Linked DNA regions of Macaca mulatta. The protein of the gene in region 2 interacts with the protein of the main gene of each other region in a pairwise test. Links are inferred from orthologs where the notes say so. Each region holds a gene or a part of one and is shown on either strand. Other genes may lie near its edges.

The links. The genes of interacting proteins can lie anywhere in the genome.
Region 1: the proteins of CDR2 (region 2) and CHIC2 interact in binary tests that used the Homo sapiens proteins (3 or more experiments, as listed by UniProt). The link is inferred for Macaca mulatta from reciprocal best matches to the Homo sapiens genes CDR2 and CHIC2.
Region 3: the proteins of CDR2 (region 2) and HDAC4 interact in binary tests that used the Homo sapiens proteins (3 or more experiments, as listed by UniProt). The two-hybrid records come from large-scale screens. The link is inferred for Macaca mulatta from reciprocal best matches to the Homo sapiens genes CDR2 and HDAC4.

What each region holds. Positions count from the first base shown.
Region 1 is NC_133410.1:79,479,577-79,483,223, reverse strand, and holds part of CHIC2 (cysteine-rich hydrophobic domain-containing protein 2), read right to left. Parts: intron 1,175-3,647; coding exon 1,118-1,174; intron 952-1,117; coding exon 892-951; intron 1-891.
Region 2 is NC_133425.1:21,841,627-21,845,900, forward strand, and holds the start of CDR2 (cerebellar degeneration-related protein 2), read right to left. Parts: upstream 2,937-4,274; 5' UTR 2,862-2,936; coding exon 2,783-2,861; intron 1-2,782.
Region 3 is NC_133417.1:144,361,866-144,365,512, forward strand, and holds part of HDAC4 (histone deacetylase 4), read right to left. Parts: intron 881-3,647; coding exon 623-880; intron 1-622. UniProt on the Homo sapiens protein: Responsible for the deacetylation of lysine residues on the N-terminal part of the core histones (H2A, H2B, H3 and H4).

The sequences.
Region 1 (3,647 bases), on a different chromosome or scaffold from region 2:
ATTTTACACATACACACACACACATCTATGATGGCTATATTGTTTTAAAGAATAGGCAAAATTCCTCAGAAATGTTATAACAGATACTTCACAAAGGCTCTGAGTTTTACTTTCAACAATTAATTTTTCCTTAGATCTTTTTCTTCTAAAGTAACAACCTGGCCATATTTAAAGTACAGTACTCAAGCTCAAAAGAAAATTAAAATTCTTAATTTTCTAGAATATTCTGAAATTTTCAAAAGGAGAAAAACTGCTCAAGTAAATCATGGAGTCAGTAAATTAAATCCCATGCTGAGTAAGTACAAAATTCATTGTATATATATGCCAAATTAGATATTTTTTAACAAGTAAACACAAGATGATCAACATCTCATTTCCTGCTTACTTTTAATTTTTACAAAGCGATATTCTAATAACACTTTAAAACAGATTCTTTAAAGGGCACTGAGGTACGGACAGTTAAAATCTATAAAGGCTAAAGGTTTCTTAAGCTCCAATGGCTTGGCTGAAAGGTTTTCTTCCATACTTGGAAACTTGATTAGCATTATATAAAAAAGCCATATCTGACTTGCTGCGTAACCAAAGTTGTGGTTATTCTTTATACAGCATCTAAAATTTCACACTCCATCAACACATGTTCAGCCTATTTTATCTTGGCAATTAATTTATTATTTTTCAGAACACAGTGAAGCCTTGTTTTCAAGTCATTCATAACTTTATAAATCAGTCTTGCACATGAAACCATGCATCTGTGAACCGTAGAAAATCCTTGCACTCAGGAGATTAAGCTCCTGACACCTTTGCTGATTAATAATCATGGAAAGAATAAGATCAGAAGCAAAATAAATGATCATTTAATAGAGAAACTCACAAAACAGCCCTTTAACTTACATATTCCATCATGTTATTCGTTTCACATTTCCTTTTGCTCAGTCTCCAATGCAAGCACAGCTAGACAAGTAGGAGAGTAAAAGAAGAAAAATGAGCTCTATTTTATTGCAGCACACAGACTAACCCATTTGTCCACCTTTCATATTTTTAGTTCAACAAAAGCATCTGTTTCCATACTGTGCAATTCAGACCCCAACAGTACGAAGCTGCTCCCTGTGGTACTCACCTTGTGGTATAACCTATTGTTTTCCCATTCTAATAACTTCTCAATCGATCTTCGTGTCTGGAAGACAAATGAGAAAAAAGTTTACTCTTGACTGGTTTTAGAAAACTTTGTTTTGCAGCTGCTTTTTCTGTGAAAAGGGAAGAGGTGTAAGACAGTGACTGAGTATAGTGTGGTGTGCATCACTATCCATTTTCTAAGCACTAAATGGTAACCTGAACACAAAGAGTTCTCTTTCTTTAAAAAGATATGGCTTTATTTCTATCATATGAATCTTTTTTTACTAGCCTCTGATTTAAAACTATCAAGGTTTAAAAGCTAATGTCATCTGCCAAATAAAATTAAATCCCCACTTTTTTCAAAAATATGTTTCCAATACTTAAATAGTAACAGAAGCTCCTTAATACATATTTTACAACAAAAGTAAATATTAGTTAACAAAATGCAAATGGCCTTTCAGTAAGTTCCAAAACAAAAAATTGGAAGTTAATATTAAATCAATGAATTATAAAATCAAACTAATTTTCACACCATGCTTAAAATAATGCCCATATTTAAAAGACAGCTTACTGATTATTCTACCAATAGATTTTTTTGAAGAGTCAAAATTTTATTTAAACCAACATAAAAGTGCCATCTGATAGTAAAATCAAACTCTTAATTCAATATTACTGTTTCAGGAATCAACTGAGAATTTACTTCAGTTGACTGATGCAAGCAAGATACGCTATGCTGCAAGAAATGTTTCCTGCTTGGGAGTATGGATAAAAGAAGATAATTCATGGTGCCAGGTGTTAGGATGAGACTGACACAGCTGCAGGTGCAAAAATGACAGTGTTGCCACCAGGATCAACTGCAACTTGGTTCAGCTGCACTTTTCTTGCAAAGGAAAGAAAAAAACATCTTACCACTATTAATGTGGTATAAGGAAGTACTAGTAATCAAATATGAAAATGTGCATGTCAAGCAAGGATTAGCTAGGTGCAAAACTGTTAGGATCAAGCTGGGTTTGAACAGTTTAATGTTACATAATAAAATTTTAACATGTATTTAAAATATCTACTTTAAATAGTTACTTTACCTTTTAGCATATTAAACATGCTAAAGACACACCAAAGTCACATAGGTGCCAATTATAATTCATAACTACCAATGAATTACGACTACTGCCTTACGTTTTCCAAGCTTATGTCACAAAACTCAGAAAATCAGCTACTTCTCTGGGTAATCATATGCCAATGACTAATTTATTATTACATTACTTTTTTTTGAAGAGTCTTTTTGGCAAGAATTTTAAAGAAAAAAATGTGCCCTTGTTAACAATGATCAGCAGACCTCACTTGTTTCTTTGTAAAGATAGCCTTTTAGAGGCAGCTCTCCTTTTAAATGAAAATAGGGCAGCAGTTATGGTCACACTTTTTGTTAATTTAGTTGCCAGTCAGCCCCAAATCAAAAGAAAATAAGGCTGCAGAGTGTAATTAACATTCAGTTCGGTCGTTTTGTCCCTTGTCTAGCCCCCAAGCTTTGTTAAAATTGCCATCTGAATGCTGAAGGCTGTAGGGAAATCGATTTGATTCTAATCGCACCATGAAAAGAACATGATCTAACTGCTTTCAGCCCTCCGTAAATCTGTACTAGGTCTTTAGCACAATGCAACTTCCAATTTAAAAAGCACTGAATGTCTCGTCAATGACTTTGTGAAGAAAAAAGAACAAGGAGCAGACATAAAAATTCCAATAGTTGTTTAAGCATTAAAGTTCATTTGCATCACAGCGAACCTGAAAAGGGCTGACCTCTCAAACCGCCTCTCAGGTCTATGAAGTTGTAGCCTTGACAAGCTCACATTGACAGAGCTCATTGACTCTGAAAGGCTACTCTATCAATGGTGAAAAATGGCAATAGGTTCTACTCTGAGCAGGCATCTGCCTGCCCACCCGCTGCTAAACCAATGGCAAAACCGATTCAAAACCTGAATCTACCTTGTAATCTTTCTTTCTAGGGCCTTTTAATAATAGATTAAGATTACTATACAATTTGAGGTTTTACTTTTACTGATGATTTTGGGGGTTGGTGGATGATGAAAGAACTAGAGTGGAACAAGCTTTCCAAGTCCATTGTCTTATATTAATGTATAAAATAGTACCCAGAAGCTTAACACTACATTCTGCAAATACTTATTACTTAAAGAAAAAAATGTAGTTACCACCATCATTTCATCAGAAATTTAAACCCATGCTATAATAAGGATAGATTTCATTATGATATATAGACACATTCATACACACAATTTTAAAACTTAAAAATATTTACTTTAACTTAAATCAACTACTAGTATTTGAATAAAAGATAATTATAAAGTATAAATCTTAAATTCCAAAATATTTATGTAGGAATTCTCAATTTCTTCTTTGCCTATAATTAGGAGTTTAATGATAGGGCTTGGTATAATAATTGTATCTTACAATATTTAAGAATTCTAAAACAAATAAGCCCTGATATGCCACATTCTGAATAAGCATATAAATATAAAATA
Region 2 (4,274 bases):
TTTTTAAATTTTTTTTTTTTTTTTTTTTGAGACGGAGTCTCGCTCTGTCGCCGAGCCTGGAGTGCAGTGGTGCGATCTCGGCTTACTGCAAGCTCCACCTCCCGGGTTCACGCCATTCTCCTGCCTTAGCCTCCCAAGCAGCTGGGACTACAGGCGCCCACCACCATGCCCGGCTAATTTTTTATTTTTTGTATTTTTAGTAGAGACAGGGTTTCACCGTGTTAGCCAGGATGGTCTCGTTCTCCTGACCTCGTGATCCACCTGCCTCGGCCTCTCAAAGTGCTGGGATTACAGGCGTGAGCCACCGCGCCTGGCCAGACCTGTGTTTTTAACGTTAAACTTGAAGAGTTGATGACTTTATTTTGATCAGAGGTTAAAGAGAATTCCACCTGTAACCCTGACACGCTGCACTTGCTGCTTGATAGACTGAAGTGTTACAGCTGGTGGTTCCAAACAACCTCCAACAGTGGGAGAACGCAGCGTGGACTAAGGCACCTGATGGAAGAGAGCCATGAAAACACTTCTGTGATAGTGCTTCAGTGCAGTTCAACAAATACTAAAATCGAGCTTCCAGTATGTGCCAAGTATTATGCTAGATGCTGGGAATACCAGAAAAAAGAACCTGCCCCCTCTATACCCTTAAGGATTTATGCTTCTTAAATTTTTTTTTTTTTTTAAGACAGAGTCTCGTGTCGCCCAGGCTGGAGTGCCGCGGCGCCATCTTGGCTCACTGCAACCTCGGCCTTCTATATTCAAGCAATTCTCCTGCCTCAGTCTCCTGAGTAGCTGGGATTACAGGCACATGCTAATTATAGGCACGCCTGGCTAATTTTTGTATTTTTAGTAGAGACGGGGTTTCACCTTGTTGGTCAGGCTGGGCTCAAACTCCTGATCTTGTGATCCACCCGCCGCGGCCTCCCAAAGTGTTGGGATTACAGGCGTGAGCCACCGCACCCGGCCTATGCTTCTTAAATACAGGAAAGAAAAATATTTAGTTGTGATGATACAAATTAAATTATAGGGAAATACTGCAATGGCACAGTGGTTGCCTCACAAATCCTGGAGAAACTATCAAACTAGGCCATCAATCCCTATGGGGAAATCTGAAAACAGGTTTGTTAAAACGTATGAGAAATGTGTCCTTTGGACATAAAGATGATGCCACCAAACACTGCACTGCAACCACTAAGCAGCTTGGACTCTATAAGCGTAATAAAGGTGAATTACTTTGGTTAAAGTGATTGCATGTTAATTTAAGAAATTATCTTCCTCCAAAAGAGGTGCTCGTTTTATTTTCCTTTTCTGAGTTACTCAAGTCTACACAGTTTCCTTCTGCCATGTTCAGTGGTTAGCATGAACAAGCATCTGCCATGTTCAGTGGTTAGCATGAACAAGCATCTGCCATGTTCAGTGGTTAGCATGAACAAGCATCAGCATCATTCAATATTTAACTAAATGAGATGTTAATTTTCACTGCAAGATTAGAGCTGAAAACATTTACATAGAATTGCAGAAACCAAAGATGCCGGGAAAAATTCCTGAGGATTATTCACAGTGTTCAGTATAGCGGTTAAGAATGTTTGCTCTCGAGTCTTAAGGGGAACCCTAGCACTCCCCAACATTATCACCTCTATTGTGTTACTGGGAGATAAATGAGCAACTCTGTTATGGGCCTATCAGTGTTAGGCACATCAAAAGTGTTCCCCAATTGCTAGCTCCTGCTATTAGTATAAAAAAAAGTGGGGCCCCACTGGCCCCAAAGTGTTGGCTGCTCTATGATTGTTCTCTGGAGACACCATCGGCAGGCCTATTTCTAAGTGAAAGCTGGCATGCAAACTGAAGAAAAGTGGCAGAGGTAGAAGCGCTCTTCTGTCATTTCAACTGGCATCTGGTGAACTATGCGTAACAGCTTAATTCCCAACTGAAAAAAAACTGTTAACTAGGATGGTAAGGAAGGGATGGGGGTTTGAGGAGTGACTACAACTCCTCCTTTTGAGTGTGTGGGTTCAAAAAACCACTCCCTCCCCCACTTAGCTTTAGGCAAGCCACTCAACCGTTTCAACCTCCGCTTTCCTCATCTGGAAAATGGGATAACAAAAGTTACTCTCAGTGTAATTGGATTGTTTGTACCTCAATGGATAAATGCTGGAAGGGATGGACGCCCCGTTCTCCATCACGTGCTTATTTCACACTGCGTGCCTGTATCCAAACATCTCACGTACCCCATAAATAGATACACCTACTATGTACCCTCAAAATTAATCAATTTTTTAAAAGTTACTGTCTCCTAGAGTTACGGCGCAGAGCGCACAGCTCCCGCTACATCGCAAAACCACTACCACCTGCAGCAGCCGGCCCTCCGTGCTGGCCAAGAAAGGCGCTGGGCTACACAGCCTGCGAGGGGGCGGCTTCTCGGGCTCTGCCACTTACTACGGGACACACTGGCTCACCCGGTCTGCCTCGGAGGAATGCAGTGAGGATTAAACTAGCTAATCCACGGAAAGCGCTTAAAACGGTGCCTGGCGCGTCCCTGGCCCCCATGCGCCTCGGGTCTGATATTCAACTGCGCATTAGCAGGGCCGTGGGCCCCGCGCCGAGGCTTCCTGCGGGCGGGATCCACGGGCACGGCCGGCCCCGCCGCCAGGTGAGCCCGAGCCCTTCCCGGCACCTGCATCCTCAGCCGCCAGAAAAAGCAACTTTTTAACAGTTTCGCAGCGGGGGCCTCCCGGGCCAGGCCGCCGCCGCCGCCGCCCGCCCGCCCGCGGGGCGCCCCCGCCCTCACCTTGCTGGAGGTCCTGGTGGTCGTACCACGGCTCGTCCTCCTTCATTTCAAACTCCTCCACCAGGTTTTCCGCCAGCATCTCGGCTGGGTCCTCTAGGGGCAACGGTCCCCGCCGCCGCCGTCCCGCCTCAGCCGCTGCCCCGGGCTCTTCCCCGGCCCCTCCGCCCTCAGCCAGAGCCGCCCTCGGGCGGGACGCGCCGCCGCCCAGGCTCCGCCGCGCCGCCTCAGCCCCGTTCCCGCCGGCGACCGCCGCCGACCGGCCGGCTGCTTCGACTCGCCTAGCGCCTCCCAACGGCCCCAACGGCCGGGCGTTACGGCGCGAACGTAGGGAGCCAGGTTCTCACGCTGCCGCCGGTCTTCACGCCGCCGCCGGGCCCAACGTGGCACTTTGGCAGAACCCTCCCCGGCCGGGGATGCGATTCAAACCCCCGGCGGCTTCTCAACCAATCGCGAGCGGGCCGCTGGCCGAGCGACAGGGACTTCGTCCAATAGCGTCTCTCCAAAGACCCGCGGCTCGCCCGGTTTCGAGGCCAAGCAGCCAATGACGGGCCCCGAATAAACAAAGAAGGCGGGGAAACAGTGAAGGGGTGCGGCCGAAAGCCCGCCCCCTGATCTGCGCTGTGCGGCTCCTAGGAGCGCGTACTAGGTTCCGGGCTGTGGAGCTGGCGGAGGCGAGTCCTGCCGCTTTGGTGGGTGTCCCGAGGCCAGCGCGTCCGTGGACAGGCAGCGCAGGCCGGAGGGCCTAGGACTTCGGCCTCTGAGAGGCGGGCGGTTGTCGAGAGGCGTCCTTCGTGCCGGCGGGAAGCGCGAGGGTGCCGGAAGCCGGAGGTCCGCCGCCCGGCTGCCGCTTCTCGCATGTTGACTCTGAGATTTGCTCCGGGTCCGGCAAGGAGACTCGGAGTCGATCGGGAGTTTAGGGCTGAGAAAACGCCCACTGAGCGGTAGCTCTTGTCTCGTTGACATCTGAGCTCTGGGAATTACGCTCCCTAAAACGGTGGGCGCCAGACCCCGTTGAGAATCTGGGGCAGTGAGGGATGCCCGAAGCTGTCCACTTGGAGGGGGAAAATTGTAAGCAGGGTTGCAACGATTTTTAAAAGGTACCTCTAGACCACAAGTTAAGCATCTGGGGACGTGGCATTGCACCTGGAGGGGTCAGGCTGCAGCCCCAGCACTTAGTAGCCAGCAAGGCAGAGCACGCTGTCCTCCACCGACATAACCCAGCAAATACTGCTCATGAGTAAAGCTTTTAGCACCATCTTACAGACAAAGCACGGAAACTCTTAAGCAGGATGACAGACCTGAAGGTCAATGTTCTCAACCTTGACGTAAAGGTAAAATTGCAGCTGATGGAAGACAGCAGGGCCAATATCTAGCAAACTTTGAGCAACGAAACAAAAAAATCGAGGTTTAAGTATATAATTGAAAGATTATCTCTAGAACATAAGGTAATAAACTGTTAGAAATTCGGAAAGAGGGAAGAGGTGGAGAGGAG
Region 3 (3,647 bases), on a different chromosome or scaffold from region 2:
GCTGGCTGCCCAAATGCCTCAGGTATTTCTGTTGACTCAGAAGTTTTATGTTTCACTGGAAATTAACCAATCATTCACTGGCCTTCTTCATCAGGCTCCTGTGCATTTGGTTACTGGGTGTCAGTGCCCTGAAGCCTTACTGGCTCTGGGTGCCACGATCGTACCCGTCTTGTCTGGATCTGCAGGGCTGCTCATTAGCACCACTGGGCCACAAAAGGTCTTGACTTCTGATCAGACCCTGCCTGTCTTTTTGATCAATTAATACCTCTATTTCCTTCACTTCTTTAAAAAGCATGCTGTATCTCACTAACACGTGGATGCTGTGATCATTTACAGCCTACAAACAGGAAGGAAACCCATTCTCTGGGGCCTGTGCATGGCTGGAAAGCAGTTACGTAACCACCCGCAGTGGGCAAACATCTCGAATCGCTAGGAACAGCTGGGACAAAACAGAAGCCACATCAACCTCCCTCACTGGCCAGGACAAGACGGGTGAGACACTGGACAGCGACAGCACAAGGATGCCCTGCAGCTCCCGTGATCACCACACAGAAGATGCTGCCCGGGGATCGAGGGTGGCTGTGCGTGCCAGCCTGCTGGTGCCCTCCCTGCCTGTAGTCACCTGTCTGAAGAGCAGCTCCTGCTCACTGGGCTGGCGCTGGCCCGGCTCCACCTCCCGAGGGGGCTCTGCCTCTTCGTCATCGCTCTCAATGGGCTCCTGCTTCACCTGCACGCCAGCTGGTGCGTGCGCCTCCTTCTGCGCCGGCAGCCGGTCCAGGTAGGGCTCGTCCAGCAGAGCCTGGTGCTCACGGAGCTCCTCCTCCGTCTCCTCTGGGTGACTCTCCGGCTGCCGGGCCGGCTCGCTTGGTTTCGGGATGATCTGCAAGGCAGAGGAAATACATGAAGCACAGAGAGCCGGGGCCTCTGAGCTCATCAGACAGGAGGAGGGATGCTGCCAACCACCCCCCTCTGGGGCAGACAATCAGGGACTCAAGGCATCTTATCGCCCTGCCACAGGCCAGCAGGCGCCTTCATCTTCCCGCACAACAGGCACTTGGGCGCTATCCACGGTGCTGAGAAAATAATGCCCATCAGGACCCCAGCCCGGGGTCAAGGTGACCTGGCCCAGGGAAGGAGGCTGACTAACATTTGGGGTTTACTAAGCACCTCTTCTGCGTCAGGCACCGAGAAACAGAAAAGAAGCCGCAGGTGTCAACCGAGTCTGCAGAGGGGAGCCTGAGTGTGAAGGAGAGGCCAATGCTGACCTCATAGCCACAACTGCTGAGAGAAACAGCCACCACCCACCCAGCGGAAGACATCGACGTCCACAATGCTCACTGCCTGAGCCCACTGACACGCCACGGCCTCCCCTCCTGCAGGGTCTCACCGATGTGCCATGACCTCCCTCCTGCCGGATCCTGGGAACACTCCAGGACCTCCCTTCCTGCTGAATCCTAGGGATGTCATGGCCTCCCTCTTGGAATACTATGGACGCTCCGTGACCTCCCTTCTTATGGGATCCCATTGATGTGCCATGACCTCCTCTCCTGCTGAATCCCAGGGATGCCACGGCCTCCCTCCTGGGATACCATGGACACTCTGTGACCTCCCTTCCTGTGGGATCCCACTGACGTGCCATGAGCTCCCCTCCTGCTGAATCCCAGGGATGCCATGGCCTCCCCTTCTGCAGGATCTCAGGGACACCATGACCTCCCTTCTTGCAGGATTCCACGGGTCCTGCATGACCTGCCCCACTATGGGGCCCCAAGAACCGTGGCATCCTCCCTCCTGTGGGACTCCCTAGATGCTCCCTGACCTCATTTCCTGTCAGACCTCACAGGCCAGCACAGCAGGCCCAATGCCGAACGCAGAGAGCTCCTCCCAAGCCTCTCCCTTCTCTAGGACCCACTCTTGGCTATTGGAACCTCTCTCTGGCCAGCTGTCCAGTCACACCCCAAACTCCTACTTCCGTCCGCCAAGCACTGCCCGCGCACTGCTCATGAGAAACGCCTCTGGACGGTGCTGCTTCTCTCCAGCCTCGACCTCCTGCCTTTCCTGCTTTGGTCCCACCTGGCCTCTCCTGCCTGGATGGCAGCATGGCCCCCGGGAAGCCCCCACCTCCAGCGTCAACTCTCTGCAATCTTCTTCATGTAGCAGTGAGGGTGCGCTTTCACACGGGCCAGTGGACCTGGTCACTCCCCTGCTGAACGTCCCCCAAGTGCTCTTCCGCCATCCTGCCTCTGCTGCAGAGCCCTTCCATCAATTGACCATGTCGCCCCTGCAGCCTCCCTCTCTCTCCCTGCCACCCTGCTCCCCAGCGCACTGCCGGCTCTGCGTCCCTCGTGCCACACTCGCCTCCAGCCCACTGCCTCTCTTCCTTCCTCGGCCACTGCGAGAGGCTCTGTGGGCCTCCTGTGCATGCCACCTTTTCCAGGAAGGGTCAGCTGATCTTCCTGATAGTGCAATGTGCCCTCCTCCAGTCCCCCGCCGTCCTCTGGCTTTCCTGTGGTTGCCATTCATGTATCCATCTTTCCTGCAGTCTGCAGTTCCCAGGGGGGTAGGGACCCCTTCTGACTCATCCATGTGGCACAGGCATTACTCATTGCACATTCACTAAAAGGACGGGGCAAATGCAAGGGGCGTCCAGGTAGTGGGGCAAAGTGGAACGGGGTGTAAGGCTGACTTCAGTGCTCTCCGGGAGCTGTGAGGAGTCAGCAGGGCTACAGCGTGGAAGGCCAGAGAGCAGGGACGCAGGGTGCCGGAGACGAGGTGGGGCTGTGGGAAGGGCACTCTGGGCTGAAGACAAGCAGGTGCATGTTTTAGACACATGCCCTGCGGCAGGCAGGCGGGCCAGAGGTTGAAAGGGTGAGGCCGGCTCCACGTCTGGCTAAGGCATGGGAGAAAGGACAGGTTTCTGTGACAGCAAAAAGGAAGCAGCTCCAGGCCCAGGGACAGATTGCATATGGAGAGGGAAGAGAGGGTGGCCAGGACAACTCCTTGGTTTTGGGCAATGGAGCTGCTTGGGCAAGGGAGCCAGAAGAGGGATGAATGTGAGCAGAGCAAAGGCTGGAGATGAGAGCAAGAGGGGAGAGAGGGACGTGGGAACTGGCATAAAAAGGCTCAGGAGAGGAGGTGGGGGTCTGGAGTTAGACTAGGAAGGGCGCAGTTTCTCAGAAGAAGGCACTGACTGAGTGGCGCTCCTTTGCAGACTGTGAAAGAACGTCCCACAATCCCAAAGCCCCAAATCGAGGGGTCTCTCTGGATGCGCAATTCATCTGTCCCTGTGGGGAACAGGCTGAAGGGCAGATTTGAGGGATGGTGGGACAAGCCAAGTTCCTGGCAGAGAGAGGAGCTGCAGTGCATGGAGGATGGATCTCAGCACCACATCTGACTGTTTCCAGAAGGAAACTGAGCTGCGCAAGGAAGCCTGACACCTGAAATCCCCCGAGCCCTTGTATTTAAACACCCTCAGAACCCTGCGTGCTGCCCCACACTCACTCGAGGCGGCCTCTCGGGCTGCCTGAACTACGGGGGACAGATCGGTGGGCACTCAGTGTCCGCTTGCTTCCAGGGGTCAGCCGTATCAGACAACACCGGTCCCCACGCAGCAGGTCTGAGATGCAGACACACACACACAACATAGTGAG